Canis lupus familiaris: one gene and its partners. The protein of the gene in region 6 interacts with the protein of the main gene of each other region in a pairwise test. Links are inferred from orthologs where the notes say so. Each region holds a gene or a part of one and is shown on either strand. Other genes may lie near its edges. The genes, in order: MRPL11, FAM107A, SH2D4A, TLE5, PPP1R18, FSD2 and LENG1.

Region 1 (4,099 bases), on a different chromosome or scaffold from region 6:
TGCCCCTTCCTCTGTGCCCCCAAACACTTTGTACAAAGAAGTCGTCAGGCTATACACATGTGCCTCCCCCCAAGCAAGGGTCAGATCGACTCACTTCTGTACTTCTAGTCAAAGTGAAGATTTGAGAAAGTCAGGTCTATCCTTGTACCACGTTTAATCCCACTTCTCTTAGGAAACAAATGTTAGCCTCAGCATGAGATGTAACATCAGCAGCAAGAGGCCCATAAAGGGCCAAGCCCCGCCCTTGCTGTTGTCTGAGCCCTCAGATGATGTATGCTCTCCCATCCAACATCTCACTTCAGAGAAATAATTCCTGAGGTCATCCCAAACCCTAGGAGGGGGCTTCCTGTTGGCCTCAGGATCAAATATGAACTTCAGATAGATGGAAACAGCCTTCAGCCTTCCCAACTGGTCCATTTGTCTCACCTCTCTTCCTATTCCCCACTCTGCTTCTAGCACCATACGCCAGAGCACACTGCATTTATTTGCTTCACTTTTTCACCTCCTGTCCTTCACAGGGATCTTCCCACTTCTTGGAATGCTTGTCCCAGTCCTTGACCTCCTTTTCCAAGTCTGTGCAGATGTCACCTCCTCTGTGAAGTCCTCATTGACACACCAGGCAAAATTAGGAGCTCTACTCTTTCCTCAAGAACCTGCAGTTCCTTTTGTCAACAATGACCATCTAGCAGCCTAATGCTCCACTTACACATCTGCCTCCAGCTCTCAACTGTGAACTCCCTAGGAGTGGGGCCAAGCATGGCTATCTCATTGTTCCTCGCTGTATCTTTTTTTTTTTAAGATTTTATTTATTTATTCATGAAAGACAAAGAGAGAGAGAGAGAGAGAGAGAGAGAGGCAGAGACACAGGCAGAGGGAGAAGCAGGTTCCATGCAGGGAGCCTGATGTGGGACTTGATACCGGGACTCCAGGATCACGCCCTGGGCCAAAGGCAGATGCTAAACCACTGAGCCACCCAGTGATTTCTTCCTCGCTGTATCTAACGTCCAGAAAAATGTCTGACACATAACAGGTACTTAATATTCATATTCCAAATGGATGAATAAGGCTGCCCACTCCCAAGAATCTAAGGTCCTTGACTCAGAAGCTGGTCCTCCCACTGTAATGGGCCCTCCTGGCTTTGCTCCAGAGTCAAGAACTTTCCAAGCCCTCCCCTCACATTGCACCTTCCCAAGACACTCACTCCTTCACCACACGAATGCCCAGGGAACGGGCAGAGCCAATGATGGAGCGAACCACAGAGGACAGGGGCACATCCTGCAGGGCGAAGGCCTCATCCTGAGCTTTAACTTGGGCGATCTCATACACATGCTTCAAGGTCACCAGGCCAGCCACCTCCTTCCCTGGGAGGAAGAAACAAGTAGACCTTGAGGTATCTCGGCTTCCTTCCAGAGCCCCCAAAATCCCGGGTACCCACCCTGACCCTTACCTGTTTGCCGGGCCCCCTTCTCAATCCCAGCAGCTGCTTTCAGGAAGTAGGAAACAGTGGGTTGTCCGATCTTGATTTCAAATGTCCTATCAGGCTTCATGGGGAAGAAAATACAGGAGAATATCTCTCTTATCTCCTCTAGGCCCTGCTGCCCCAGCCCAGAGAACTTTTAACTTCTGTTCCCCCTTCCCTTGACTCATCTTCCACTGGCGTCCATTTAACAGATCATGAAAACACGGGGAAAATAAATCTGCAGCTAACAGCTTTGTCACCTCTAGTCCAGGCTCAGCTCTGCTGTAGAAGCCCGAGTGAGATGGACAGGCAAAGGGAGGAAATGCAATATGGCAGGAAAGGCTCAGAAAAGATATGGTCTAGTCTCCACTGTGTAAATGGGGAAAGTGGGACTCGGTGATAGGAAGAGCCTCACCCAAAATTAAAAGCAGAGTAGCAACCCCAGTAACCAAGGGGAAGAAAAACAAATAGGATCATTAGGTGACGGGGATTAAGGAGTGCAATGAGCACCGCGTGTTGCATGGAACCGGTGAATCACTATATCATACACTCAAAGTTAATATAACACTGTATACCGGCTAACTGGAATAAAAATAAAAACTTAAAAGCCAAACAGGATCAAAGTCCCGACTGTGCACCTTCACAAAAATCTTGGTGGGCAAAGGAATGCCTTCTTTGATGTCCTTTGTCTTCTCGTTGAACTCCTTGCAGAACTGGTTGATGGAAACACCTCTCTGGGTGGGAAGCACGGACATTAGTGTGGGGACAAGGGGGCGGCTTCCTACCATACGGGAGATTCTATCCCTTTCCTCCTTCGTCTTCATCTCTTAAAGGTCCCATCCTCCTCTTATTAACCCAGATTCAACTAACACTTTACGCGCCAGAGGATCTGTATGCATCGTCCCTCTATCCTCCCAAGGGGCCGCTGACCAAGGACGGAGGAAGCTTAGCCTCGAACAGGCCACGGAATGAACGCAAAGACCAAAAGCGTGTGGGCAGCAAAGCCGCGCTTTGACCTTACCTTACCAAGCCGAGCCCGCACCCTCCACCCGCTCCGGGTCCCAGTACTAGGTCCCACCCCCACCACGCCTCCCGCTCCGGGTTCCAGCCGCGGGACCACCTGACCCAGGATGGGACCTAGAGGAGGCCCGGTCATGGCCTGGCCTGCCCGCACGATGGTCCGGATCACGCCGCCGGCCTCGGGCTTCCTGAGGGCCCGAGCGGCTCGGTTCAGCTTCGACATGACGCGGGGTTGCGGCCTCAGTTCAGCTCAGGATTACAGCAAAAGCGACGGCCACGGGCGCCGCCATCCTGAGTCAGAGGTCAAGGGTCCTCACGTTAGGTTTGGTCATATGACGCCAACAAAAAGCAGCGTTGTTTCGGCCTTTCTATTCTCCAACTAGTACGCCAAAGAGAGTAATATGAAGGATAAAAAAAACTTTTACCTCACGATCTGAAGATAAGGGAAGGCCTGAATGGTTCAGATACATGCATTCCTCCTGCAGAGCACATAGGCAGTACCTCGGACAGCTAAACTGGAGGAGGAGGAGGCCCTTAATGTTCGCACAGCATTGTGGGCATGGTAGTTTTGACCGCTTACGCAAATCTCGCACGTTGCTATGCTCTGGGGGGCCATCTGCTGGATGTGATTATAATCCTGGGGTTTGAAGGGAATTTAGAGCTCCTTCTCGGGCGTGAGCATCTCTAACTTTCCCAGCCTGTTTCGTCACCTGTTGTTGAAAGGCACTATGATTAAGAGTATAGACCCGGGAAGTAAGTACCCGGTTGTTCCTCTTGCTGGCTGTGAACTTGTTCAAATTACTTATGTTCACTTTCCTCCCCTGTACAAAGATTATAATATGTAGACATAGCTCTAGGGACTGTTGTGAAGATTGAGTTAGCAGTGTGTTAGGACAATGCCCGGCATCTAGTAAGCATGTGCTATTAACTGTACAACGAAGACAAAACCTTCACAGAGCTGTTGTGAGACTTATAAAAATAAGCCAGCATCTTATTATGCCTTTTTTTTTTTTTTTTTTTTTGAGCACTTGCTATATCCAGGCATGGTGCCGAGTGCTTTAAGGGCATTATTATCTCATTTAGTCCTCACAATGGCATGAGGTAAATTCTTTTATTTTACCTTTTTGACAAACGAGAATGCTGACGCACAAAAAGGAGGTCAAAAACAACTACCCTGTGTTGACAAGGCTGGGAAACCAATATTGGTATTACCGGATTCTAGACCTTGTGCCATGTACCATGACTCTACATTGCCTCATCTAGTAAAAGGAGATAATCTGTGCTAAACCACACTGTAAACTGTCATATTTTTATTATGATTTTTTTGGACTTCCACTAATTAAATGTGATTATTCCTGCCTCTGAAGTTTCTCAAGTTCTTTATAATGCTCTATCTCATTAGCCTTAGCCAGGGTCTGGAATCAAGCTGGCTCCTGATTCACTAGTTGTAAAACATTGGGCAAAATAATTAAGTTTCCTGTGCTTTGGTTTACTCACTAGCAAAACGGGGCTAGCAATAGTACTAACCTCCCAGGAAATGAGTTAATTCAGGTAAAGCACCTTGAAGAGAGCCCAGCTAGATATGATTTATCTCTGAGTGCCCCCACACTGCCCAGCCTT
Region 2 (4,108 bases), on a different chromosome or scaffold from region 6:
CTCGGTCTTCCCAGCTGTACAATGGGGAAGGGATTGGACCACTTTGCCAGGGGTTTTCCAGAACTGATTTTATAGCTATGGTTAAGCCATGAGTGTGGGAAGGGGGTCCGAGAAGCCCCCCAGGACAGCTCCGTGACCTTTATAGCACAGGCCAGTGGGTGCTAGACCTCAAACGGCCCAGGCGTGTCACAGACATCCTGCAGAGGCCAGCTGGGTTACTGCCTCCAGAAACAGAGCAGGAGGCATGTGTGGGGGAGGGCTGGGGGGTGGTCCACAGACGGGGGAGCCCCACAGCAGGCCTGGCCTGGGCCGGCTCATAGCCTCTGCTCCAGGCTGGCTCAGCCACTGGCTGGCTGTGGGAAGTCACATTGGCTCATGACTCAGCTTCTTCATCTGCCATGGGTGTGATGTTAATGCCCCTGGTGGATCAAAGGGAGGGTGTGAAGAGCTGACAAGGACGCAGGTAGGAGAGGATCAAACCCAGAGGGAGACGAACGTTGACTAAGGATCTACTTCATCCCCAGGCATGGTGTCATTTAGATTTTACAACAGTGTGAGAAGGATTATTATCTTTAGTCTATGGGGTTGGAACCTGAGGTCCTGTCTTGTCCACGGTCCCCGGGTATTTGGAAGAACTGACTCAGGTGTGTCTGACCTCAGAGCCCGTGTTCCCATTCACCCTCTGCGGCCTCTCCCTGGGGGGCAGCCTCTCCCTGGGGGCAGGAGGAGGGCCTGGGCCCAGCACATGCCTGCTTTTCAGTCTGGGGGCTAGTTCTGATCGGGATGCTGTGCTGAGGAAGATTCTGAGGTCATCTGGACTTCGTGGGAAAGGGTGTAGGGACCGATTCGTGAAGTTTGTCACCGGTGAGAGGAGAGAGAGAGGCAGTCTGTGAGCTGTAATTGCTGTTCCTAGGCTAGACCTTGTCGGGGTCTTTTCCAGGCCTGGGAAGAAGCCGTTCTCCAAGGTGACTGCACCTGCACAGGTAGGATCTAGAGGCTGAGCTCATTCTCCCTTGGGAGAGGGGAGAAGCTGGAAGAATGTTCCTGAAGGGGGCTGGGTGGGGCCAGGGTGCAAAGCTCTGCTGGGAAGGCAGCTCTGGGCTGTATCAGAGAAGACACAAGAACAGCAGGTGACCCACAACAGCAACTGGGGGCTCCCATGAGCATGGCGGGATGGAGAAGGGACAGCCCCAGGACAACAACCTTCTAGGATACTGCTGCTGGGGGTGCTGAGGGGAGGCAGGAGTTTCCAGGCCTGACTTGCACCCGAAACAAAGGAGGTTGGGAGCAGAGGCTGGTGCAAGGCGGCCCCAGGGGTTATCTAACCCAATGCTCATTTTCCAGATGAGGAAACTGAGGCCCAGAAAGCTTGTTCCATGGGGACTGCCAATGATGTGTTTTACTTTAAATTTGAAAAATGTGGGTTGGGCTCGGTTGGCAGAAAATTTAGAGTCATGCAGAACCATAGTTGTTTGAGGGTTAGAGCCCCCGTTTATTAGGGTTGTCTGGGTGACAGGCTGCATGCTACATACTTTATAGCATCCTCTCGTGGCCCCTCCCAAGGGGTGAGGACCAGCCCTACTTTACAGGTGAGGAGCTGAGATCCAGAGATCCAGGGGGGTTCAGTTCCTTATAAGGCAGGTGGAGGAGCTAGGGCCCAGGCAGCCTGACCTTACCGCTGGGGTCACAGTCCTGGTGATGTGGACTGAGTGCGTGTATAAGAATCCCTGGGGAGCCCTGCCTCCCCTTCCCCTGATCCAGGAAGTGTGGGTGAGCCCTAAGAAGGAGACTGTGGAGCAAGCCCCCTCCCATGCCCCATCTCTAATGCAGACACAGGGTCTCTATAGACCACATTTTCAGAAACACTGCATAGGCTCTGTCTACAAATCTCCAACTGAGAGCCCAGACATAGAAGGTGATGCATAAAAATGTGAAGAGAACTCTAATAACAGAACATAGCTTATATATAGCTCACTATGTGCCAGGCACTGTTTGAAACACTTTACATATATTTTTGTTCAGTTAATTCTCACTATAAGCCTCTGAGGTAGTGACTATTGTCCCCATTTTACAGATGGGGAAATGACTTACAGGAAGCGTCAGTAACTTGCCCACCGGTGCTCCCTGGCACACGGGGAAGGTGCGGCCACGGAGCCTGTATGCAGGGAAGTAGAGAGGTGTGTGTCTAAGACCAGAGAGCCTGTGAGGTTGGGCAGTCCAGGTCTGTTCCAGGGGTGGAGAGATCCGAAGGCTTTGTCCTAAGCCCCAGCTAGGTTTCTAGATGCAAATCTTGGCTGTGAGCTCAGGGAGGGAGGCTGGTGGGCAGTGCCTGGCTCAGGCCCATGGAGCTGGCAGGTAGGTAGATGGGGGCTCCCACCCGGTAGGTGCAGTCTCCCTCCCCATGTTCAGGGACCCAGCAGGACCCTCGGGGGCTCTTACCTTCTTCCCATGGACTGCTCCCATGGCACAAAGCGGGCACCAGGCCTGGGTGGGCCTTGGGGGGCCCGGCTGGGGTCCTCCCTGCCGATGCTGATCTCAGGAGCTGGGGCCCAAGGGGTTCCCTGGGCCAGGGTCCCCCGTCCTCTCGTGGCTCATTCTTCTCAGGCACAAAGGAGGCTTTCACAGCTGCTCCTAAGCCCAGAGCTCCTCAGACAGGCTTAGGGTGATTGATCCTGTCAGAGGGGTATGGTGTCCCCAGAGGGCCCACACGTCCTGTGGTCCCTGTAGCTCCTCACTTCCTGCACCCCTGCCTCTCTCAGGAGGGGAGACTGAGGCATCCGTGGGGAGGTGAGAAGCAAAGCCGTCCTCTCACCATGCGGCCGGCAGCTTGAGTACAGCGGGTGACCTCTGGCTGGCCCAGCAGGCAGGACTTGGCCTTCTTGCCAGGCTGGGCACCGATCAGCAGACAGGCCCCAGACAGTGGAGGCTGTGTGGACTAGCTGGGGTATGGGGCTCAGGGCAGGCTTGGCTTGTGTGGGGATGTAAACCTCGGGCTGGGCAGCAGCCCCATTAATAGTAGATCTTTGAAGACACTTGGGGGCAAGGGCTCTCGTGGAGCGGAGACACTGAGAGCAGAGTACTTCATTCAACAGGACAGTAGCCCAGCTGGGGAGGGCTGGTCTGGGCTTAGGCCAGGAGACTATCTGGAGGCTGGATTCCGGGCCCTGGGCCAAGTTCTCAAAGTTCCCCCAGCAGTTACCCTCCTCCTTACTTGCTACCCTCCTTCATTATTATCAACAGCATGGAGCGAGGAGGTTAAGGCCCGAACCAGCCTGGGCTTGAAACCCAACTCTTTCCTCACTGTTGTATGACCCAGGGGGTGGGGGTGGGGGTGGGGGGCATGATTTGACCTCTGGGAGCCTCCGTTTCTTCGTGTGTGTGCTCCTATAATCACACAGCACAGGGTTGCTCTGATGGCTGAAAGAAGTCGGTGTGCACAGCCAGAGCCATTGTTCTCTTAAAGCATAAATCAGATGATGTTATTCTCTGTTTTACACTCTCCCCCTTGACGGAAGAGGGGTAACGATGGCCCCTGACCCCATGGGGCCCTGAGGATGAAATGAGGTGACTTGTGTAAAGCTCTGGGCAGAGGATTTGGAGAATAGGAATTTTCCAGAGAAGTTAGGTGCTGCTTGTTATAATGCTGTTAATGCCACTCGTGATAAAACCACTGCCCATTGGCAAGTCCCAGGTAACCAGTTTGATTAAGCAGAACAGCCTTTCTTAAGAGATGGCTGGGCCAGGGAAAACTTGCAGCCCTGTCTTTCCTCTGTCTAGCACAATGCCTGGCTCCGGGGTGGTGAGGACTTATTGTACAAAGGATTATGAAATGGCAGTTGGTAGTGAAGGGTCAGGATCAAGTATTCTAGATCCACCTTTGCCCATAGAATCAAATTCCCCATGGTCCAACACAGTTCTGTTCCATGAAGTCTTGCTGGCCTCTCAGACCTCATTTCCCATTCCCCTCTCTGCCTGACAATTCCTGGATCATACCACCCTCCTCCTCACCCCAGCACCTTTGCACATGCTGTTCTCTCTGCTGGGAAGGTTTTCCATCTCTCTCCCTTGACTACATTTTTAAATCTCGTGCAATTCTTTCCTTTTTATC
Region 3 (4,122 bases), on a different chromosome or scaffold from region 6:
CACAGAACACCTAGCAAGGACCCCAGCATGAGCTTCTGAAGAGCTGTGTGCCCTTCAGCTGTCATTTCACTACTTTGTTTTCCCATTCGTGAAATGAGGAACTGCACCATACATCTTTGTAATGTGAAGACTATGTCATAGTCTATGTGAAGTTACAGACACAAGTGGAGGTAGGGTAGAGGAAACAGGAATGAGGAAACTAACCAGGGTTTTTCCCACTTTCAGTCCCTGAAAGGACAACCACTGACACTGATTCAAACTTTGAATGACTTTCCTCATCTAACACACTTGAGAGCAGCAAACTTCCAGTTATTCAAGATCCAATAAAAAGAAAAGCTAAGCTAACTCAGTTTTCTTCTCATATAGCACTTTACTTAAAAAAGGAAATGACAAGCAACAAGCCCAAATCTGCTATTTATTCCAAAACTAAATTTCTAAAGGGTGATAGGATCAGTTGTTTTCCAGGATAACATACATTTGGCCTGACTCTCACATCATCCATAGCCCTGTTCGACAAAATAAAAATTGTGTTTCTCATGATTCTAAGACCTTGGGGGGGGGGGGCAGGTAGATAAAGCCTAAATTATAGCAGTAATGTAATATGGACAGTAAAACTTTAATGGTAAGAATATAATTTAGAGCACCTGTGTGGTTCAGTCAGTTAAACATCCCATTCTTGGTTTGGCTCAAGTCAGGATCTCAGGGTAGTGGGATTGAGTCCTGCCTTTGGCTTGGCACTGACCATGGAGTCTGTCCCTGTCCCCCCTTTCCTCCCCCTACTGCCTCTCTCGCTCTCAAATAAATAAATAAATAATAAATAAATACAATCTTTTAAGAAAATGAATATAGTTTGAATATAGTTTGAATTGTACTTCTTTTAAAATGGCTGGCTATTTTCAGATTTTCATTTATCTTATTCAACTTCACTTAATAGAGTTTATCTGCAAAAGGGCTATTTTTTTTCTAAAGATTTTATTTGTTTATTCATGAGAGACAGAGACAGAGAGAGAGACACGTAGGCAGAGGGAGAAGCAGGCTTCCTGTGGGGAGCCGGATGAGGGACTCATTGGGGATCAGGACCTAAGTCCAAGGCCGACTCAACCACTGAGCCACCCAGGTGCCCCAAAAGGGCTATTTTTGAGGATAAAATGATTTACCAGAGGTGATAGCAATTTGGTAAGTTTTGTACATATGTGCCATTCTTCAGAAATGTGAAACGACTGTACAGATTTATCTAGGAAATTGCACTCATGGGCCAAATCTACGCCTGCATAGGACTTCCACGTGTTTATTCACTTTCTAAAGCTCCAAGTCGTTAGTATTCCGTCCGCAATCCGAAGCCTCTCAGGCGGGGGCCTGGCTGGCTCTGCGGGTAGGGCATGCGCAATCTTGATTTCCCTGTTCTGAGTTCAGGCGGGTGCTCGTGTTTACTTAAACAAACAAACAAAAAACCCTTTTAGGAGGTGAGGAGACTAAGATTAGAGAGAGGTGCCCTTGCTCCTGCGCCCTGCGCCCTGGGAAGGGAACGATACCGTTAAGGAAGCCTATAAACTGGCACCTGCGCGCGCGGCTCTCGGTGCCCCCGCGAACCCGAGGGCCAGAGCGGGCAGGGGCGGGCAGGGCGCCCACCCGACTGGGAGGACCGAGGCTGGGCTGCCGTCCTGCGGGCGGGCCCCGGGGAGCCGGCTGCCCCGCGGTCCCGGAAGGTCTGGGCGGCGGAGTTCCGCGCGGGCGCGGGCGCGGGCGCTCGTCGGCGGGGGCGGGAGCGCGGTGCCGGGCCGCGGAGGAGGCCCGGACCCACGGCAGGCACAGGCCCCGCGGGTGCTCCGGCGCTCCCGGCTCGCCCACCCCCGCCGGCCGCCTGGGCTTGGTGACGCGCCCGCGCCCCTCCCGGTGCCCCAGAAGTGCTCGCCTTCCCCCTGGGGCCGGCGCCTCCCGCGCCCCCACCCGCACGGTCCCGCGTTCTGCCCCCTGGCCCCGCCGCCCCCCGCACCTACCGGGCGGGGCCCGCGCTCCCCAGCAGGTGGCCCCGGGCCACGCGGCGTCCAGCGGGGCCGAGACGGAGGGAAGGCGGCTCAAACCCTCGGCCTCGCTTGTGCAAACAGTGTCCCTGCGCGCCCGCCCGCCCGCGCTGCCCCACCCGCGGCCCGCGTGCCCCAGCGGCTGACTGGGTGCTCGCGGCCCCACCCGGGCCCCTGGACGCGCTCCAGGCCCAGGCGTCGGCGCGGCCTGCTGCCCCAGGGGACCCCCCAGCCCGGGCACCCGGCCCCGAGCTGCCGCGTGTGGGGGCCAGGCCGCCGCCCCCCACCTGCAGCCCGCCGAGGCCGCCGCGCCCTCTCGGCCGCGGGACGCAGTGGTGTCAGCGGCCCGGGCCTGCTCCGCCGCGGGGCTCAAGGGCTCCTGCAAGCCCGGGCCTGCGGAGGCGGGAGGCCTCGGTCACACGGACAGCCCCAGCAGGCCGAGTCAGCTCACCTCCCGGGTCGCCTCCCGACTCCCGGAGCTTACTCTACCCGCCCCGCCCCCGTTTGTTGACATTAAAGTCATTTATCAGACACTCGGGCACTTGTCAGCACAGGCCACAAAGCTTTGTAGGGCAGAATCAAGGAGGCGAAAGGCTGGAAAGATGCAGGCTGCAAACAACAGACACGGAGGGAAAAATGAAAGAACTCTGGAGAAAGGAAAGAAGGTAAAGGAATCTTGTGAATAGCAGCAAGAACAGGTTGGGGTGGTGCCGGAAGGGAGGAGCTGACGGAGTACAGGAAAGTTGGGCAGAAGCGAGTAGAAACGTTGCAGGGCGTTTTCCATTGTGCAGGAGCGTTGGGAATGTGCGCGGAGAAATAGCCTGCTCTGGGGAACCCCACCCTGCGCATGGTGGGGAGGAGTCAAGAACACTGAGCCTTCTCTAGTCCTCTCCACAGCCCACCTGATACATTCAGGGGTCTGATTGGCTTCCTTCAAAAGTGAAACTTTCTTCTTCCTAACTTCTCTAGACCTCAGAAGTTACTCAAAGTTAGAAAGAGCCTTGGGGGCAGAGAGAAGTCCTTGAGAACCTATTTAGGAACCATTCTAGGGATCGCATCAGGGGAGAATTTCTGGTTTACTTTTGGTTCCCACTGCTTATTAAATGAATGGCCTGTGACTGCATTTGGCTGGATTGTCTCTTGCCCCTGGGTAGCGGCTGTGGCCAGCTGAAAATGAATCCTCCCATTTCATGGATCCAGCAGTTGAAGAACTAACAGGTGGTTCATCAGTCAGTAAAATTTTCCTACAACGGACACTGGTTGCAGCGGATGACCTTCCCCGACGCTCAAGTTCATGTGCTGATAAGTCTTTCTTTATAAGAGTACTCCCACTTGGCCACTAACCTGTCTGTACTTCGGTTTTCCCTTCTGGATAATAACAACGCCTACCTCATGAAGTTGTTGTGAAGGTTAAATGAGATGATATATGTAATGTGCTTAGAATAGTTCGTGGACTGGTGAATGTACAAATACATTAGCTTATACTATTTCACATCACATACTGCAGTTTCAAGTTATAACTTCATACTCAGACCTTGGATTTTGCCTTGTGTGGTACCTAGACTCCATGTTAACCTCAGTGATCCATCCCCACCTCCTCAGTATGTCACTTCTGAGATTAGGTTGTAAAAGACGTGAGCACATGCCTGGCTGGGCATCCAGCACTGGTCTTTGAGGCACGACTGTGAGAACACCAGCCTCAAATTTGTAGTGCACTTTCTGGCCCACCAGCAGCCTGGGTGACTGCTAAGTGTTCTCCATGCAAGCAGTGGGCAGAGCCGCTAACCCTGTGAACAAGATGGGAGATGCTGAAGCAGGCAAGAAGATCTTTATTTAAAAATGTGGGGGCACCTGGGTGGCTCAGTCGGTTAAATGTGCGCCTTCCACTCAGTGGTGATCAGGGTTCTGGGATCCAGCCACACATGGAGCTCCCTGCTCAGTGAGGAGTCTGCTTCTCTCTCTCTCTCTGCCTGCCGCTCCCTCTGCTTGTGCTCTCTCTCTCAAATAAATAAATAAAATCTTCTTTTTTTTTTTTTTTTTTAAATGTACTCAGTGCCACACAGTGGAAAAAAGTGGAAAACACAAGACTGGTCCAAATCCC
Region 4 (4,290 bases), on a different chromosome or scaffold from region 6:
TCTGTAGGGACTGACCTCCCAGGGTGGGGGTGCTGAGAAAAGGAAGTGGATGAAGACCAGAGAAGCTTCTAGAACAGCGCCTGGTATACAGGAAGCACCTGATACATGCTTGACCTTCTGGTCAGTCATCCCAGGGGCCTGGCATCTTCGCTTCACCAAAGTGCTTACGACGGGTCTGCCACTGTGCATGTGGCTATGGGCCCCACGTGTTTTTTCTCCCCCTTTCCTTAAAAAACGCTATTTGTGGATACCATTGGGGGGAAAAAAAAACAATCAGGCAATTTCACGCCAAACTCTGAATTTCTGGCCCTGTTTGAGGGTCTGGCAACTCCTGTGTGTACCCACCCCATGGGAGGACCCCTCACAGTCCAGAGAGAAACCCAGGTCCACCGGGTGCAGACCCCAAGGTTCAGAGAGGGTGTCGGGTTTAGCTGAGGACACACAGCCCTGTGACGGCCCTCTGACCCCCGGCTCTGGGGTTGTCAGGCCCCAGGGCTCACTACGAAGTGGGGGCGCTCTGGAGGGGCTCCGAGAACCCAGGCCTGCCCAGCCCAGGCCCTAAATGCTTCACATCAGGGACCACAAACAAAGTTCCTGGGGCCTGCCTTCAACTGCCAGTGCCTCAGTTTCCTTGTCTGAGAAATGGGCACAGTTAAGAGGCCCACAGCGGGGAAATGCTACAAGAGGACATCGGTTCAGCATCTAGCACATGGGGAGTGAGGAAAGTCGCCTTGAAAGGTGAGATTTTTTTTAAAAATCTATCTACAGATCTGGATCTCGCTGTTTTTCTTTCTTAAAACCCAGAATCTGTCTTGGAACCTGTCTGCGCAGGCCAACAGGCCTAGAGAGCCGCTGGGGTCTGCGACCGTGACCGAGGACTCCGGCCCGATTCCCAGGCAAAGCCCCCCGCCCCCCAACAGCCTTGAGAATCTGCGTTCCCCAACCCAGAGATTACGGGCACATCTCGGCCTGGTCTCAGTGCTGTGCATCCTCAGGAAATCTCTGCCCTCTCTGGGCTTGACGTTCTTAAAGCATGAGACAAAGACAGCACCGGTCCAACCCCTCCATGCTGCACTGCGCAAGCCCTTTACGGCGCCAGAACGTTAAATTCTGGGGGAAGAGCCTCCTTGGAGAGTCTTGTTGGGAGCCGGGAACTCATTCCCCAAAACTAAGCAGAGAAGAGACAGGACAGGCTGCGGAATGTTTTCTTTCCGGGGTGGGGGGTCCATCCTCCACCAGGCTCCTTGGGAGGTCTTTTATCCACGCGGGGGGATTGGGGTGGGGGTGGGGAGAGGCCCTCTGAAGCCACACAGCCCCAGTGTCTGGACAAATAATTTAACTTTCTGTGCCTCAGGCTTCTTACCAGTGAAATGGGTTGTCTTGAAGTCTACGAGTTTAATATCCGGAAAGTGCTCAGGACAGGGCCTACCCCGTACCAGGACGCTCTCGGCCTCCATTTCTTCAAATAGGTGTATAAAGCAGTAACCCCCCCCAGGCCTGGGGGGCCTCCCCCCCCAACCGCCAGGGCCTCTGGCCCCCAGCTCACCTGTGGTACTGAGCCTGCAGCAGCTGAAACTCGTCTTTGATGCGGTCGCAGGAGTCCGAGGTGGTGAATTTGAGTTGTTGGGGTAGGTGAGAGGAGCCCTGCGGGGAGGGGGCGGCCGGGTCAGGGCCCCGCGGGGCGGGGTGACCCCCGGGGCAGGCGCAGCTGCAGCGCCCCCCCCCCCCCGCCCCACTTCCCGGGCCCGTGTTTACAGCCCCTGGCGCGGCCCCCGCCCTCGCTTCCTGCCCCCGCCTCTCCCGGGGGAAGGCGAAGGGGTGGGTGCGCCCGGGGCCGCCGCGCTCCCCGCCACCCCCAGGCTGTGGGGGTGCGTTAGCAGGTCCGCCCTCGGCGGGGGGCGGCGCGCGCCCTCTACCGCCCCTCGGAAGCGCCGGAGGGAGGTGCAATCCGAGGGCCCCAACCGCCTCTGCGGGAGGGGGGCCGGCGTCCTGGAGGCCCCCTCCCCAAGTTGGTGGGGGTGCCCGGCCTCCCCGAAAAGTCCCCTTGGGGAGGGGGCCTCTCCCGGCGCCCGAAATCACCCGGGGGGGCGTCCGCCCCAGATTCCCAGCACCCTCCTGCCCGGCCGCGTTCTTCCGGGAGGGGTGCGCCTCGGATCCCCCCTCATCCCAGGCCTCCAGACCAGCCCCGGAGCTCGCGGGGCCCGGCGGGGCTCCCGGGGTGCCCCAGGCCCGAGGCCAAGGCCGCCCGAGGCCCGGCCTGGCTGGGGCGCGGGGGGGGGGGGGCCTGCCCCGGGGGCCGGGGGGAGGAGGAATCCGGGCCGGGAGCCGGAGGGGACCGGGCCTGGGAACTAGGGGGGATCCGGGCCGGGCGGGGGGAGCGGCCGGGACCTGCGGGGGCCGGGGAGCCCGGGCGGTGGGGGCGGGGGAGCCGCGCTGGGCCCCGCGCCGGAGTCGGGGGAGGCGCCGAGCAGGGAGCTGGGGATGGGGGGGCGGCCCGGCCGGGAGCGGGGAGGGCGACGGCCAGGCCGGGACCCCGGGTGCCAGGCGCCGACCTGGGGAGGCGCGCGGGGCCCGACCTGGGGGGGGGCGGCCGGCAGGGGACCTGGGGGGGCGCGGGCGCGGGGATGCGGGGCCCCGACCGGGGTGGGGGGGGGCGCCGGGCCGTCGGGCCCCGCTTACCGAATGCCTGCTTTGTGGAAACATCATGTCAGTCGCGGCGGGGGGCGCGGGCTGCGCCCCGGTTGTGCGCCCCGGCTCGGGCGGCTCGGGCGGCTCGGGGCGCCGGGCGGCCGCGCCTTTGTCCCGGCGCCGATCGGCAGCTCCCGGGGCCGCCGCCGCCGCCTCCCGCGCCCGGCCTCGCCCGCTTCCTGCGCCCCCTCCCCGCGCGCCCGGCCCCGGCGCGCCCCGGGCCCCGCTTCCTGCGCGCCCGGCGCCCCTCCCCGCCCCTCCCCGCCGCCCGCCTCCCCGCACGCCCGGCCGCCGCTCCTATTGTCTAATGGCGGCGGCGCCGGCACTGGCCGCGGCCTCGGCTCGCGGAGGCTCCGGCTCCACCTGCTGCCGCCGCCGCCGCCGCCGCTGCTGCTTCCCGGGCCCCGTGCGCGCCGCCGAGGGGGGCGCGCGCCCGGGGAGGCCTGCGGATCCCCACCCAGCCCGCCTCCCGCCGGCCGGCGCGGTGACCTTGGGCTCGGCGCGCCCCGCCCCGCCCCGCCGCGGCCCCTCCCGGCGGGGGGCGGCCGGCCGCGGGCCTCGGTGTCCCCGCGCGGCGAGGAGGGCCCGCCGCCCCCGTCTACACCGCCGGCTCCGTCATGGCGCGACCTGGACGCGTGCCAGGGACGCGCTCCGTAACCTTGGCCCGCGGGCCGGCTGCTCTGCGGGGAGGCCGCGCTGACCCCGCCGCCCCCACCCGCGCACCGCGCCTACTGTGTGCGGGCCCGCTCGGGACCTGGGGGTGGGGGCGGGGTGTGCGCGCGCGCGCGTGTGTGTGCGCGCGCGTGTGTGCAAAATCCCGGCCTGGTGGAGATGGCAGGAGACAGACCGAACCCCCAGCTAGGGGGCAAATGAGCCAGCGGGGAGGGCCCGGAAAGTGCGATTTGAAACAGAGGAAGGTCAGAGAGGCCTCCTCAACCGCAGAGGACCTGAAAGTGAGAGACAGCCCTGGAGGGGGGGTGGGGGGAGGCAGGAGTAGCAAGTGCAAGGGCCCTGAGGCAGGCCCAGCCTAGCACTGGGGACGGCGCAGGGAGGCAGGGCCAGCAGCTTCACACCTTGGTTCCCACTGGAGGCCTGCGCTCTGAAGGGCCTGTGCGGGTTCATGGCCTGCTGCGCTGGTCTGGAAATTCCTAATAGTTTTCCAACAAGGGGTCCCACAATTTTTGTTTTTAAGATTTTATTTTTTATTTATTCAGAGAGAGAGAGAGAGAGAGAGAGGCAGAGTCACAGGCAGAGGGAGAAGCAGGCTCCATGCAGGGAGCCCGACATCGTCGGACTCCATCCCGGGACTCTAAGATCACACCCCGGGCTGCAGGCGGCGCTAAACCGCTGCGCCACAGGGGCTGCCCCGGGGTCCCACAATTTTGTTCTGCACTGGGCCATGTGAATTCTGTAGCGGGGCCGGCGGCATGACAGATGGTGCAGGGCCTTGGGGGCGGTGGGGGGTTTTACTCCAAGGGAGGCTCTCGAGGCAGGAGGCCGCGACCCCCCCACCAAAGGCCCGGCCAACTGGGATTCTGATAGGATCACTCTTGCTGCCATGTGGATAACAGGCCCCAAAGAAGTTGGTGAACTAATGCCTGG
Region 5 (4,033 bases), on a different chromosome or scaffold from region 6:
CACCCTGGGAGACACACCCAGGGACAGCACTTGATTTGGGACAGAACCCTTGGGCTTGGAAATGAATGGAAAATGAGGGCTACAACAAGAAGGAAGGGTGTGCATAGAGGAGGAAGGGTAGTGGCAGGAATTAACAAGAAAGAATAGAGGAAGACAAGAATACAGGGCTATAAAAAAGAAAGGAGGCCAGAGAGAGCTGAGGCTTCTGAGAAGTCTGAGGGCTGCTCCCTACCTGTTTGTGGTGCCTTTCGGGGGACCCCTTGACAAGGCAGCTGCGGCTGAGGCGGAGGTAGCCCCCCAGAACCAAGATCTCCTCCGCAGTCGGGTACCGCTTCTTCCCAACTCCAGGAACTGCAACATCAGCCGCGGCTGGGGTGGCGGGAGTGCTGGGGGCTGCTGGGGGCACAGACCGCCGGGGGTTGACTGTGAAGGTGTGTCCACTGCGGCGAGGGGTCCCCACCCCTGGCCCTGCCTTCACCCCATAGAACAGACGGTTCATGAGGGGATCCCCAGGGGACTGGGGAGCAGGTGGGGCTGGGGGTAGGGGAAACAGAGGGGCTGTTGGTGGGGGCCGGAGATCCACCGCTTCCTCTTCCTGCCTCGTAGAGCCTTTAGTCCCAGCGTCCTCTGGTGGGAAGGGGGAGGGCACAGAGCTACAGTTCTGCAGGGTTCTCAGAGGCCTGCTCAGAGCCCCTGCCTTCTCCTTCTCAGCCTCCCCTTCTCCAGCCTCTGTACCAAGAGGCCCCAGATACTTCTCAGCAGCCTCTGGGGGTTTCTGAGGTTGAGTCTCTGTGTCCCTGGGTGTCCGTTCTCGAACCTTTCCAGAGTTCAGGGTCCATTTCCAGCCTTCTGTCAGCCTCAGGCCCCTCTCACTATCCTCCACAGGGCCGGGCCTTTGCTCTGCTGCCTCCACCTCTCCAGAGCTGCTCTCTGGAGCCTCCCTTGTCAGGGTCTCTGACACCTTTGTAATCTCTTCTGAGGCCAGTGTTGGAATTGGTCTCTCTTCTTTTCTCCTACATTCCTCCAAACAGTCTTTTCTTTCTTCTTCTGAGCTGGGCCTCCACCCTGATGCCTCCCGTTGTACCAAACTCTGTTCCTGAGACTCTCCAGAGTCGGGCCTCCATTTATGGGACTCTGACAGCTCCAACTTCTGGTTGTCAGATTCTGCGGGGCTCAGTCTACTTTCCACCACCTCTTTTCTCCTGGGGCTTTGTTCTGCAGGCTCTGCCAGTCTCAGACTCCACTCTGGAGTTTCTCCAGGGCTCAGCCTCCATTTCCGTGCCTCTGACAGTCTAGAGCTCCTGTCTCCAGACTCTCCTGGGCTCTGCCTCCAGTCCCAAGCCTCTGAAGTTCTGGGGCTCAACTCTCGGGCTCCCCCTATCCCCAACTTCCTCTCTCTGGCCTCCCTGGGACTGAGCCGCTCTTCTTTTGAGTCTCTTCCCTTGGGGCTCTGATCTCGAATTTCCCCAGGACTGGGTCTCCTCTCCCGGGCCTCCAAAGGCCCAGGCCTTCTCTCTGCAAGTAACTCTTCATTGCGCTGCTGCTGCTGCTGCTGCTGGCGCTCCTGCCGAATGAATCGGTTCTGGTGCACCGGCCCAATGGCTTCTAGGAGGACAGCCGACTCATCTGGGTCTGGAGGTCCAGCCTCTGTAGTCCCAGGGGCAGGGCTAGGTTCTCCAGGAGACAGACCAAGCTTGGCCCGGCGGCGCTCCAGGATTCCCCGCTTCCAGGCTGGCATCTGGGACAGACGATCCCGCTCAGCCTTCTCCCGGCCACGAAGGGCCGCCTCCTCCTGCCGCCGTCGGGCCAGCAGCTGTAGCTTCCAGTCCGGGATGGTAGCCATGGTCGCGCGGAGGTAGGGGTGGGAAGTGCTGGGCTAGAGAACAGGAAAGAGAGGCTCCAGAGGTCCTGGGGGTAGGGGGAGGGGAAGCAGAGGGGCAGAGGAGGGACACCGAGATGGGCCCAGGCCCGGGAGGGGAAGAGTGAGAAGATGGAGGGCAAAGTAACGGGGAAACAGAAAGTGAAAAAGCAGTGGGCCCGGCGGAGGTGGCGTCGCGGCCCTGAGAGGAAGAATAGAGATTCAGGGCGAGGAGACAGCAGTCAGAATTGGCAGCGCGGGGTTCATGGTATCGGGGAGGCCCGAGGATGTGAGCGGAGAGAAGGGCGGAAAAGGAGTCGTAACGAGGGAGGCGAGAGCCCGGAGCGGCCGGGGAGCGGGGGCGGGGGCGGCGCGAGGAGGAGGACCAGGCCGGGTTTCCCCACCGCCGCCCCAGAGGCGGGGGGCGGGGGGGGCGGGGAGGGGTCCGGGAGTCCCGCCGGGAGGGAGCCGGGACTGGAGCGGCGTCGGGGAGCCGGGAGGAGCCGGCGTCCGGGGAGGCAGCGGGGCGCGGGGCGCGGGTGCGCCCACCCCGGGGCTCCCGGAACCCCGGCGCCCGCCCCCGCCCCTCCTGCGGCAGCCCCCGGCCCGGGCCGCGCCCCGGCTCCGCGCCCCGGCTCTGCCGCCAGGCCCGGCTCCCGGCTCAGCGGCCCCGCGGAGCCCGCCGTCCCCCCGGCTCGGGGCGCACCGACAGGCAACCGCGGCTCGACGGGAGGAGCCCGAGGTCCGCGCCGGGGCGGGCGGCGCGAGACACCCCCGCCCCGAGGCCGCAGCCCCGCAGCCGACTCACACGCGCGGGGCTCCCACGGGAGGGGTGCGGAGGAGCAGGCGTCCGAGGGAGGAGGAGTGGGACCGAGGGAGAGCCGGAGACGCGGGCGGGGAGGCGGGAGGGTGACCGCGACCCGGGGCCGGGCGGGGGGCGGCGACCGCTTTGTCTGAGGACAATGGGGAGGGAAGGGGGCGCGGGCGGGGCGGCGCGGGGCGGGGCGGGGCGGGGCGGGGCCGGCTCCCGAGCCCGCGCGTGGGCCCCGCCTCCCCGGCTCCCCTTCTCGCGCCCGAGCCCCGGCCCGGCCCGGCCCTCCTGCCGCGAGCCCCGGAGAACGCAGGTGTCCAGGCCCTGGCCCCCGCCCCGCCCGCCCCGCCCGCCGCGCCCGCCGCGACTCAGGCCCCTCGAGGGACTCGCAGAGGAAGCAGCCGCTGCCCCGGCCGGGCCCGCCCCTCCCCAGGCGGTGGCCTCTCCCGGCCAGCCTGCGTCACTGCGGGGTCCCGGGCGGCCACCCGGAGACGTACTCGGAAGCCCACGGCTTTGGTAACTGGCCCCCACGACAGCCGCTGCCCAGTCTTTAGCTTCAGCCCGCGTCCCATGGGTCCCGGTCCACGGCGGGGGAACTGGGGACTTGGAGGAAGGGGGCTGGGCCTCGGGGGTGTGCCCGAGGGGCCGCCGCCCAGCGGTCGCCAGAGGGCGCGGTGGCCGTCCGGACTCGACTTCGGCGTGCCTGGGCTCTGCTGGCCTTCCTTCCAAAGTCAGCCCTCTAGTTAGAGACACACTGATGGACTGCATGCCATATGTAGAAAAAACGGGCTGAATTTTATTTTTCCGCCGCAGACGTTCCTCGGGAGGGCAGAGATCTCTTAGTCACCAACATGAAGGGCGGGAGGATCCTCTCAGGTTAGAGGACAGAGCCCAGGGCCAGCGCCTAAGGAGGGGCAAGGCCTAAGGAGGGGCTAGGTGAGTCAGCAGAGCTGGCATTACCATCAAACCTGCAGACCCTGATCCTACTCCTAGGAAGGGAAGCCTGAGGGGGAGAAGGGGATCCCTGAGGTGTAGAAGGGAGCAACAGTGGGAGGGAAGTGGGCAGGCCCACCCTTCTTCCTTAGAAGGACTGTTCTTAAGGTGGGGTGGAGGTGGGTCAAGGCCTAAACTGTGAGGAAATACTGAAGTTCCCCACCCTTCCTCCGTGGTTTGGTGAGAAGTAGATCTTGGGGTCCAGTGGTTGAAATTCAGGATTAGGGTATGGAGCTGGGCCCAAGGAGTGGAGGCTCAAACAGGGGAAGGGATGGCCCCTTCAGTCCATAGATTTGGGCCTCTGGTCTGAAGCAGCCAGAGCCCAGATGTTAAAGGGCTTGGGACCAGGTTAGCTCCTCACTCGGCCTCAC
Region 6 (4,297 bases):
TAAGAAAACAGAGTCCTTGAAGTCAAGCCAACTCTGCTATTAGCCTCCTAAAGGAAAAGGTAGATAGAACAGGTCTTGTTAGCAAAATAAATTCAAGACCTACTTAATCTACCAACAGCAATTACATACTTTGCATTGGAAAATAGGAACAGTAAATTAAGAGATTGGAAAGGGTGGGAGAAGGTAGTGAACCCATGAGACTCTCATTGTACTGGTGGGAAGGTGACTGGAAATTGGAGAAGTTGTTCAAGAAGTGGAGGACAGGTCCTCTCCTGGAGCGCAGCCTTCAGAGGGTTTTCTGGTTAGATGAGCCTCCTTGGACAGAGACCAGCACAGTCCCGTTTACAGAATGCTGTGTCACAGTGAACTGTGCTCCAGAGCAACTGCCAGCGTGTGAGCCATGTGAGTTAGGATTCTGACAAATACTGGAGGATGAGAAGTCTTAAAGAAAAGGCCTTGGTACCCATGTAATCTCTCTGCTTTATACTGATCACCAAGCATGTGCTTCTGAAATATTTTATTGGATGTGTACAAGTGATTGCATATCATTGTCTGAACCAGCAGGAAGTCAACTATTAAACATACACTTTTCCAAAAAAGGCAATTTAATTTTACCAGGAACCAATGTCATCTTATATCTCAAGTCTCCAAACCAACTTTCCAGTCCCTTCACCAGGTGTCTTAAAATCTGACTATTCTGAATTACTAAGCCCATGTTAGTTTACACTAGGATTCTGTGGTTATTCTCCATATTCTTGTTCCCCTTTATTGAGGGAAGCCTAAGCTTATGTTAATAACTTGCTCAAGGGTTATAAAGTGATACAGGTAAGAACAGATTGACATGTTTTAACTGCAGAGCCAGGGATTGCAGCTATAATGATCTGACTTTTAAAAATAGTTTTTTTTGTTTTGTCTTTTAACAGATTTATCGGCAGGTTGCTGGTGAACATGGCCTTGAGGTAAATCCTGCCCCTTGTTGAAATTTAATTTCAGTAGATTATTCATGGTATTTTAGGAATTGGAATATTTTACAGAAAACGTTTTGTTTGGTTCTGTTCTAGACTTGTTTTTTTTTCTTCTTGTAGAAGAAACATGTTTAATCAAAAGTTCTTTATGCAGAATAATTGTGATGCTTTAAGCTGGTCATCTGCCTTAAGTGGATCTTAAATGTTAATGGTCAGTGGCAATTCTAGATTATTTTTTTCTTGGTCAAATAAAAATGTCACTTAAACCTTATAGGTGTTAAGTTTTTATCATTTTATTCATGTTCGTATTACATGTGAAATATTCCATAAAGCCTGTTAGAATCCTGAATTCAGGCTTGCCTATGATATCCTACTTCCTACCTGGCAGTTTCTATGTTGGTAGCTGAGAACAGTTTTGAATACACACATGTGTCTATAACTTGAACTATCTCTGTGCTTCATTGGCTATACTTTCCTTATTTCTGGGTAGTGATCCAGCTTGGCAGGGCAGTCGTGTGTGTACACATAAGGAGCTGTGAGATCATCAAGGTGACTTGTTAATTCAAGTATCTGAGCTGCTGTTAATATCAATAGGCAGAGCAGTGGTTGGATGAAGAAGATACTAATTTAGTCTATATGTGGTGTGTACCTGTTTGTGACATGTTAGCCATTAGGGGTTGAATGATGAATAAAACACTGCCTGCCTTCATGGAATTGGGCCTGGTAGAGGTCATTTCAAAGTTTAAGTGGGGTAAGTCCTCGGAACGGGGTGTTCAGAGTGCTCATTGCAGTGCCGTTAACTGCCGGGAAGATAGGAGAGGGGAAGGCACATCTGGTTAGGTGGTGCTGGTCCATGGCTTCCCTGGTTCTGGTTGGGGACAGCTCCCTGCCTCCTCAAGTCTGTTACTGGTGCTAGTGACATGTTACAGATGTGCTGCAGCCATTAACACTTATGCATCTTTTCCCTTCCTTTCCACTGCCCCTCATCCCGAGCTCTGAAGGCCTTGGAGATTCAGGTAACTTTGCATATAAACAATAGATGTGTACAATATGACAACTTGAAAGACCTCTGGGTTCATGTTGGCTGAGCTCTCGTTTTACAGCCGGGCCTAGTAATGACCAGCCTATCTCACACAGGCGGCAGTGCACAGGACTGGAATCCAGGTCAGGTGAGATAAGTGTCAGTGCACTAGTCTGCCAGGTGAGAATGTGAGCCATAAGTTGTGCTTGGTGCATGGTGCCTGAATGCCAAGTCCAACCAGTCGAGGGGTGAGTGGCTGAGAGGGGTAGGTACGGAAGTCGGGGATCAAAATGGTCTAATAGAAAGCAACATGCTTTGGCATTGCAATGCCATTATGTATCTTCAGACACCCAGGCTTTTCCAAAGAAAAACACGGATGCACAAAGCAGTAGAACTGACAGCTGAATGTGTATAGATGCTGAGAAATGTCCGCATTGAAAAATGACAATTTTGAATTTTCATAGTCTAACAGAATGCCAATCTTCCTGGGGGACACCGTTATTCTTATGTCTGGAGTCATCTTGTTATGCAGGAACTCATACTTATGCCTGAAAATTAAATGTTGATACAACAAAGTTTCAGAAATTCTGTCTGGATTATTTGCAGAACATTTCATATTAATTTTATTCATATACTCCTATGCTTATGTTATTTTTTTAACTGATTACCCTTTCCAAAATTATCTTTTCTAAAATTTGTCCTAAGAGACTTTTATTTTTTAACTCCATTTGTTTTCAAGCAATCTGTTAACCTAAAATACTTAGGTACAGTAACATAAATTCTTACTACATAAAAATTTGTATAGATATAGGTGTTTTGGAAATTTAGATTTTTAAGGTTCAGATGTATAAAACCTTTGTAATAAAGACATTTGAAACAGGCAGCCTCATGATCTTTCATGGAATAAAATGAGCCTCTTGGTAGAATCTGTGCACAAGCAAGCACTCACTAAGGCACCATTCTCAAACCTTCAGCCTTAGCAGGGCCCCCTGGGGGCCGTCTCCATTCACTGCAGTACCCTCTCGCCAGGCTCTGTGTCCTTTGTGCTTTGAAGAATGGCCTGAACTGAAACCAGCCACAGGAACTTCCTACCCCTGCTATGTGCAGACATTTGCAGAGCTCAGCAGCAGCACGCTGGTCCACATGCCTGGGAGGAGCACTTGGAATAGCCTTCAGTGCATCAGGCCAAGCCAGCCTGTCTCCAGCACGAGTCACCTCATCTTCCCCTCTGCTGCTCCTTTCCTTAACTAAGAAGCCACTCTTCCCTCTACCTCCTCCCACCACAGTAGAGTCAAGACTAAAGCAAGAAATACGAATCAGCTAAGATACCCAGCCCTCACCCTCCACTTGTAACTCGGTCCCTCTCTCATGTGTCTTTCGAAGATGGGACTGCAAGAAATTGCTCTGGCTCCAGTGCTCGGCTCTTGTCCTTTTTCATGCCATCTCATGTTCCCATCCTCTTCTGTCCTCTGACTTCCCACCCTTTCCACTATACACAGACCCCTACTCTTCCTTTATTCTCTCTCTTGTTTTCCTCTGCCATTCATTTTTCCTTTTATAGGAGAGGACACTTTGATTTTTAGTCTTATTTCAGGCAGGATCCAAATAAACCATTTGGCTCAGTGCCTGGTATTTGTATTCCTCAAACTGGGTCTGAGGCTCAGTAAAGTCCATTCTAATCCAGATATCTTACAGGGGGCAAGCTGGTCTTCCCACATACGTGTGGGCATGACAGATAGTGTTTAACCATGATGGAGGCTCATGAGCAGAGAACATCGGATCAAATGTTAATAGGATTCAGCAAGCCAACGAGGGTCAGAGGCCCCGTGGTAGAAGAGGTACTAGGAAAATAGGTTTTACAATTTTTGAGGTGAAGGGAGGTTGCAACGATGGCTTTCTAAGTCTGACAATGTCCACCCCACTGGGGGCCTCTTTTTGGAACTAGTCCATGCATAGAGGACAGAGTGCTTAGCAGCAGAAGCAAACTGGAATGAGCCATAACTATTTTAAGCCTCTGCCCACTTACAAAGATGGAATTGGGGCTTCAGATCAAACTATCCGTTTAATAACATAAGTTCAACATGAAAAACCAATTACTTAGTGGTTAAGAATGCTGTCCTTGGAGCCAGACTGCCTGGATTTGATTTTAAGCTCTGAAAACATTGGATAGATGACATGACTGTTATGAGGCATAGCTTTTTTTTTTTTTAATGGGATAATAGAAGTAAATGGGCTAGTACACATTTAAGAGTGTGGAACAGTGCTTGGCACAGAACAAGCTCTCCGTGAATTTTAGCTATTTTAATCCGAA
Region 7 (4,197 bases), on a different chromosome or scaffold from region 6:
TCGAAGCTGGTCCAGGGATGGGGGTCTGGGGGGAGAACACTCAGGTCAGAAAGCTTATAGCCCCTAGAGGTCCCACTTTCCCCCAAGAAGGAGCTGCCCCACCTGGAACCCCGTCCACCTCTACCTGCTCTGGTCTGAGAGGTTTGTGGGTAGGAAGCTGGCCTCATGCTGTGCAAGGACCCAGGACTGCCATCACTGCCCCTGATGCCCCTCCAAATCATGAGCTATGATGATGAGCACAGCCAGGACCTCAGTTTCTCCTTCTGTAGGAGCTAGGAGACCTGCTCAGGTTTGTCCTCCTTGGGACACAAACCTGCTCTGACTGACCCCGTGGTTCTCAAACTAGACCCCAGAAAGCTTTGTGTCAGTGGGTTTCATCTATTGCTATTTTGCATAGAAGCGAGAAAACCTTGAAACAAGGTTACGTCCCCAGTCACCACAGTGTCTCTTCACGCCCTGTCTCTTTAGAAGCCACTGGACAATCAAGGCTGAGTGAAGGGTCACAGGGGCTCAGGAAAACCAGCTTGCCTCTGCAGACCCCCTGCTAGGGCGTTGGAGCCCCAAAGCCACACGTGGCGAGCCGCCTCCCCAGGCCCCCAGCCCCTCACCCTGACAGCACCAATGCAGCTGCCCACTTCCTTACACTTCAGGCCGCTGCTTCTCAGGCTTCTCCTTCCCCTTCCTGCCATGGCCACCATTGTCCCCACTGTGCCGTCTCTTCCTCCTCAAGTGCTTCTGTATCTCCTGTAGAGGGTCCAGGCGGTTCTTGATCTTTTCATCTGGACCTGGGCTGAGCTGGGGGGCCCCTTGCCGTGGGGGTAGCTGATACCAAGGCAGCTGAGTCTGGGCTTCTGCTGCACTCTGGCCCAGGTAGGTCAGGATGCCCAGAGCTTTCTCCTGCCTCTCCTGAGGGGGACAGAAAGAGGGAACTGAGGATGTCAGCGATGTCTCCACTCAGGGAGCCCTACCTGTGACAACAGAATCCCCCAGGCTCCTGGACAGGTAGAAGCAGCATGAGTCAACTCAGCCATTTTTCCAAGGACAGGTGGGCCTCCTGCACTGGGCAGAGTGTCAATTCAATAACAAAAAACACAAGGGGGAAGGACAGGGTGCAGCTGCTTTAGGGTTCAGAGGCAGCATCTTTGGGGAGATACTTTAAAGATGAACCTGAAAGCCCGCCAGCAAGGCAAAGGAGTGAGGCGAGACAAAGGCAAGTTCAGAGTTTGGTGGGAACCCCTGAAAGTGGGTAAGTGACAGGACCCAGGTTCTGATTTAGATGAAAAAGCTTCCTAATACACCTCCACAGGGTCTTGACATCAGCCCAAGGGGTCTGTACCTGACAGTGCCGTGCACCCACTTCCAAGCCCCTGCAGGGAGGGTGCCAATAACCCACACTGGGAGTGCTGTGTTCCAGTACTGAGTTCTCTGTGTCAGCTCATTTCATCCCCACCCTACCTCTCTGTTCCCATCAGTCACCCCAGACTTTACCCCTGACTGACAGGGACGGGTGTGGGGGGGGCGCGCAGCTTACTTTCTCCTGTCGCTTTTCTTCCTCATACTCTCTATTGCCTCTGGTCGCCCCTTTCCCTTCCTCCAGCAGCTCCCGAAATAGGTCCACAGGGCCAGAACTGGGGGCTCCCGCCTCTGCTGCTTGGAGCTCAGGTAGCGAGTGCTGGTGCCTGGCTTTCTTCCGTAGGAATTCTGTGCGGGCCTGGGGGAAAGAAAGTTACAGGCAGAGCATTCATTGCCTAGCCATGCCTCCAAGAACTGTGAGACCGGTGCCAAGCACAGAGAATCCCCGTGCTGGTGCTGAGGGCTCATCAGAGCATCACCCAGCCTGGGGGAGAGGATGGGAGAATGAGGTGACACCTGGGTTTGTACGCTGCCTTTGGTGAACCAGAAGGGTTTCCCAACCTCAGCTGGCACAATAAAAACAGCTAGGAAGGCAGCCCAAAATTTGCGAGCAGGCGACCAGAAATACAGTAAGGCTCCAGATCACTGTCCCTCGACCACGTGCAATCTGCTGACCAAAGTGAGCTTTAAAAGCCCAGACCACCTCCCGGCCAGCGGTGAGGGCCAGATTCGTTAACAAACTTCAAACTCCGTGCACACTAGAAGCTAGAAGTTACTCCGAGAACCCCCGGGGTTGGGGGCCGCGGGGAGAGGGCTGGCCCCACAGGGGGATGGGTACGTCCCACTTCTCTGCACAGCGGAGGGCAGTGCCCTCTGGGCACGAACAGAGCAGGTCCAGCGCTCTGCTCGGGGCGAGCATACAGCAGACGCTCCAGAGGGGTCGGGCAGGAACACTAAACGTGGGTCTGCGTTTCTTTGAACTGCACAGGATTCATTTTTTCAGCAGCCCCTACTCTAAGCCAGGCACACCCCGGCCTCACGCAAAACGAGTGGCGGAAACCAGGGCAAAGGGGAGGCCCAGGTGGGGAAGCCTCAGGTAGGGCCCGCGCAGGCGAGCCCCTGCGTTTCCAACCGCGCCCAGCTCCTCCAGCCTCACGGGAGGCACTGCGCGTGTGCGCCATCCCGCTTCCGGCCCCTCCCCCACGCGCCTGCGCGCTCGGCCCGGGAGTCGCGTCCGACCGCACTCGGGGCTTACCTCCTGCTGAGCGAGCAGCACCCTCCGCTCACGTTCTTTCTCCTCCTCTCGGGCCTGAGCCTCGTCACGCCGCACGCGGGCGACATTGTCCTTGTTCCGGACGTGCCAACTCTTCTTGGGCAAGATATTCATGGCGTCGTAGCCGTCCACCGACTGCAGGCCCACCTCTGAGCACTTTCTATTGGCGAGAGGATGCCGTTCCCTGTTGTTCCTGCCTCAGCTACGGATTGGCCCTGGGCTGGCTGCCACGCCCCTCCAAGTCCGTAGCGAGCGCTGATTGGCTGAGATGCCGAATTCGGGTTGGTGTAGCCTGGAGACCGCCTCTTCACCAGGTCCTGAGCCAATCACTTGTCCCCGCCCTGAAGCTACGGGACGCGGCCGCTGATTGGCTGGCCTTCTCGAGGCCGATAATCTGATTGGCCGGCTCAGGATGCAAGTTACAAACAAAGCGCTCTGCAGTCTCAGCGGCGTTTATTGGTACGAGAAAGGTTAACGCGAGAGTGAGGGGGTGTCAGGGCCCCGGAAATCTCCGCAGCCGGGGACTTAGGGTCTTCTCAAGTTCTCTTTTACAGATGAGGTGCGGGCTTCCATAGGGTCCGGGGGCAGGATGAAGTGGGCCATGGTCCCGAGCAGGGCTAGGGAGGTCGAAGAGCCCCGGTGGCCGAGCTCAGTGCCACAGCGCGCTGTGCCAGGAAGACCTTATTCTGCGCCTCCTGGGTAGAGGTAAAGGGTAAAGAGAAGTGCAGGTGAGGCCGACCGCTCCCCACCATTTCTTTCAACATCCAGGACCCCCTACCATGAACCCGCTTTGCCTCACCGTCTCTATCTGGCGTTTGAGCTCAGAGACCAGACGTCCATAGGAGTTAGCCAAGGCCAGGGTATATGCCATCAGGATGCTATAGGGACGGAAATGGAAGCCATACCCAGGGGGCTCTTAGCATATCTTCAGTGTAAAGGCTCCTTAGAAACCGGGGATCTGGACTCCCAGCCCCACCCCACCCCCGCCAGACCCCTCCTCCCTCAGACCCGGGAGTCCAGGCTCCTCCAACCTCAGACCCAAGAGTCCAGGCCCCCAGCCCCCTCCCTCCTCAGACCCAGGAGTCCTGGCCCCCAACCCCTCCTTTCTTAGAAACAGGCAGTAGGGGCCCCCAGGGAACACAAACTCAGACCCAGGATTCTGGGCTCCCTCACCTGGAGATTAAGAGAAGAGGCACAGCAAAAGCCTGGGTCCCCAGGAAAAAGAGAAAGTTCTGGACGGTCTGAGGGAGGTTGGAAATAGACTCAGGGATCTGGGCCCAGATAGACGACTGCCCTTGGAATGGACCACACAGCTTAGAAGGTGGGATCCTGAAGAAGTCAGAGACAGTGTTCAAGGATGGCCAAGATTCAGAATCCTGGATGAGGGTGGAAGGAAGGAGGGAAGGAGAAGGGAGAGGCAGGCCCCTGCCACACTTACAGGAAGATGCTGTAAAGCACGGGAACAGCGGAGATGGCCAGAGCCAGGAGAAGGACCAAGGGGAAAAAGAAGTTCGCTGTGGAAGCCCGAAAGGTGCGGGAGGCCGGGGAGCAGGTGGAGAAAAGGGTGAACT

What was found.
Region 1: the proteins of FSD2 (region 6) and MRPL11 interact in binary tests that used the Homo sapiens proteins (3 or more experiments, as listed by UniProt). The two-hybrid records come from large-scale screens. The link is inferred for Canis lupus familiaris from reciprocal best matches to the Homo sapiens genes FSD2 and MRPL11.
Region 2: the proteins of FSD2 (region 6) and FAM107A interact in binary tests that used the Homo sapiens proteins (3 or more experiments, as listed by UniProt). The two-hybrid records come from large-scale screens. The link is inferred for Canis lupus familiaris from reciprocal best matches to the Homo sapiens genes FSD2 and FAM107A.
Region 3: the proteins of FSD2 (region 6) and SH2D4A interact in binary tests that used the Homo sapiens proteins (3 or more experiments, as listed by UniProt). The two-hybrid records come from large-scale screens. The link is inferred for Canis lupus familiaris from reciprocal best matches to the Homo sapiens genes FSD2 and SH2D4A.
Region 4: the proteins of FSD2 (region 6) and TLE5 interact in binary tests that used the Homo sapiens proteins (3 or more experiments, as listed by UniProt). The two-hybrid records come from large-scale screens. The link is inferred for Canis lupus familiaris from reciprocal best matches to the Homo sapiens genes FSD2 and TLE5.
Region 5: the proteins of FSD2 (region 6) and PPP1R18 interact in binary tests that used the Homo sapiens proteins (3 or more experiments, as listed by UniProt). The two-hybrid records come from large-scale screens. The link is inferred for Canis lupus familiaris from reciprocal best matches to the Homo sapiens genes FSD2 and PPP1R18.
Region 7: the proteins of FSD2 (region 6) and LENG1 interact in binary tests that used the Homo sapiens proteins (3 or more experiments, as listed by UniProt). The two-hybrid records come from large-scale screens. The link is inferred for Canis lupus familiaris from reciprocal best matches to the Homo sapiens genes FSD2 and LENG1.

The regions. Positions count from the first base shown.
Region 1 is NC_049239.1:51,392,327-51,396,425, reverse strand, and holds the start of MRPL11 (39S ribosomal protein L11, mitochondrial), read right to left. Parts: upstream 2,801-4,099; 5' UTR 2,703-2,800; coding exon 2,580-2,702; intron 2,194-2,579; coding exon 2,098-2,193; intron 1,542-2,097; coding exon 1,448-1,541; intron 1,362-1,447; coding exon 1,202-1,361; intron 1-1,201.
Region 2 is NC_049241.1:32,298,376-32,302,483, reverse strand, and holds the start of FAM107A (actin-associated protein FAM107A), read right to left. Parts: upstream 2,801-4,108; 5' UTR 2,464-2,800; coding exon 2,440-2,463; intron 1-2,439. UniProt on the Homo sapiens protein: Stress-inducible actin-binding protein that plays a role in synaptic and cognitive functions by modulating actin filamentous (F-actin) dynamics. Mediates polymerization of globular actin to F-actin. Also binds to, stabilizes and bundles F-actin.
Region 3 is NC_049237.1:22,874,103-22,878,224, reverse strand, and holds the start of SH2D4A (SH2 domain-containing protein 4A), read right to left. Parts: upstream 2,801-4,122; 5' UTR 2,473-2,800; intron 2,463-2,472; exon of another isoform or gene 2,309-2,462; intron 2,168-2,308; coding exon of another isoform or gene 1,461-2,167; intron 1-1,460. Other genes in the region: collagen alpha-2(I) chain-like, read left to right, coding at 1,461-2,167. UniProt on the Homo sapiens protein: Inhibits estrogen-induced cell proliferation by competing with PLCG for binding to ESR1, blocking the effect of estrogen on PLCG and repressing estrogen-induced proliferation. May play a role in T-cell development and function.
Region 4 is NC_049241.1:56,586,156-56,590,445, reverse strand, and holds the start of TLE5 (TLE family member 5), read right to left. Parts: upstream 2,801-4,290; 5' UTR 2,707-2,800; coding exon 2,680-2,706; intron 1,942-2,679; exon of another isoform or gene 1,846-1,941; intron 1,645-1,845; coding exon 1,547-1,644; intron 1-1,546. UniProt on the Homo sapiens protein: Transcriptional corepressor. Acts as a dominant repressor towards other family members. Inhibits NF-kappa-B-regulated gene expression. May be required for the initiation and maintenance of the differentiated state.
Region 5 is NC_049233.1:625,434-629,466, forward strand, and holds the start of PPP1R18 (phostensin), read right to left. Parts: upstream 2,801-4,033; 5' UTR 2,667-2,800; intron 1,877-2,666; 5' UTR 1,844-1,876; coding exon 233-1,843; intron 1-232. Other genes in the region: NRM (nurim), read right to left, coding at 3,542-3,573.
Region 6 is NC_049224.1:55,070,732-55,075,028, forward strand, and holds the end of FSD2 (fibronectin type III and SPRY domain-containing protein 2), read right to left. Parts: intron 2,535-4,297; coding exon 2,282-2,534; 3' UTR 960-2,281; coding exon of another isoform or gene 924-959; 3' UTR 501-923; downstream 1-500.
Region 7 is NC_049222.1:103,811,567-103,815,763, reverse strand, and holds the start of LENG1 (leukocyte receptor cluster member 1), read right to left. Parts: upstream 2,801-4,197; 5' UTR 2,741-2,800; coding exon 2,609-2,740; intron 1,712-2,608; coding exon 1,532-1,711; intron 907-1,531; coding exon 644-906; intron 26-643; coding exon 1-25. Other genes in the region: TMC4 (transmembrane channel-like protein 4), read right to left, coding at 3,244-3,321, 3,426-3,504, 3,800-3,955, 4,065-4,195.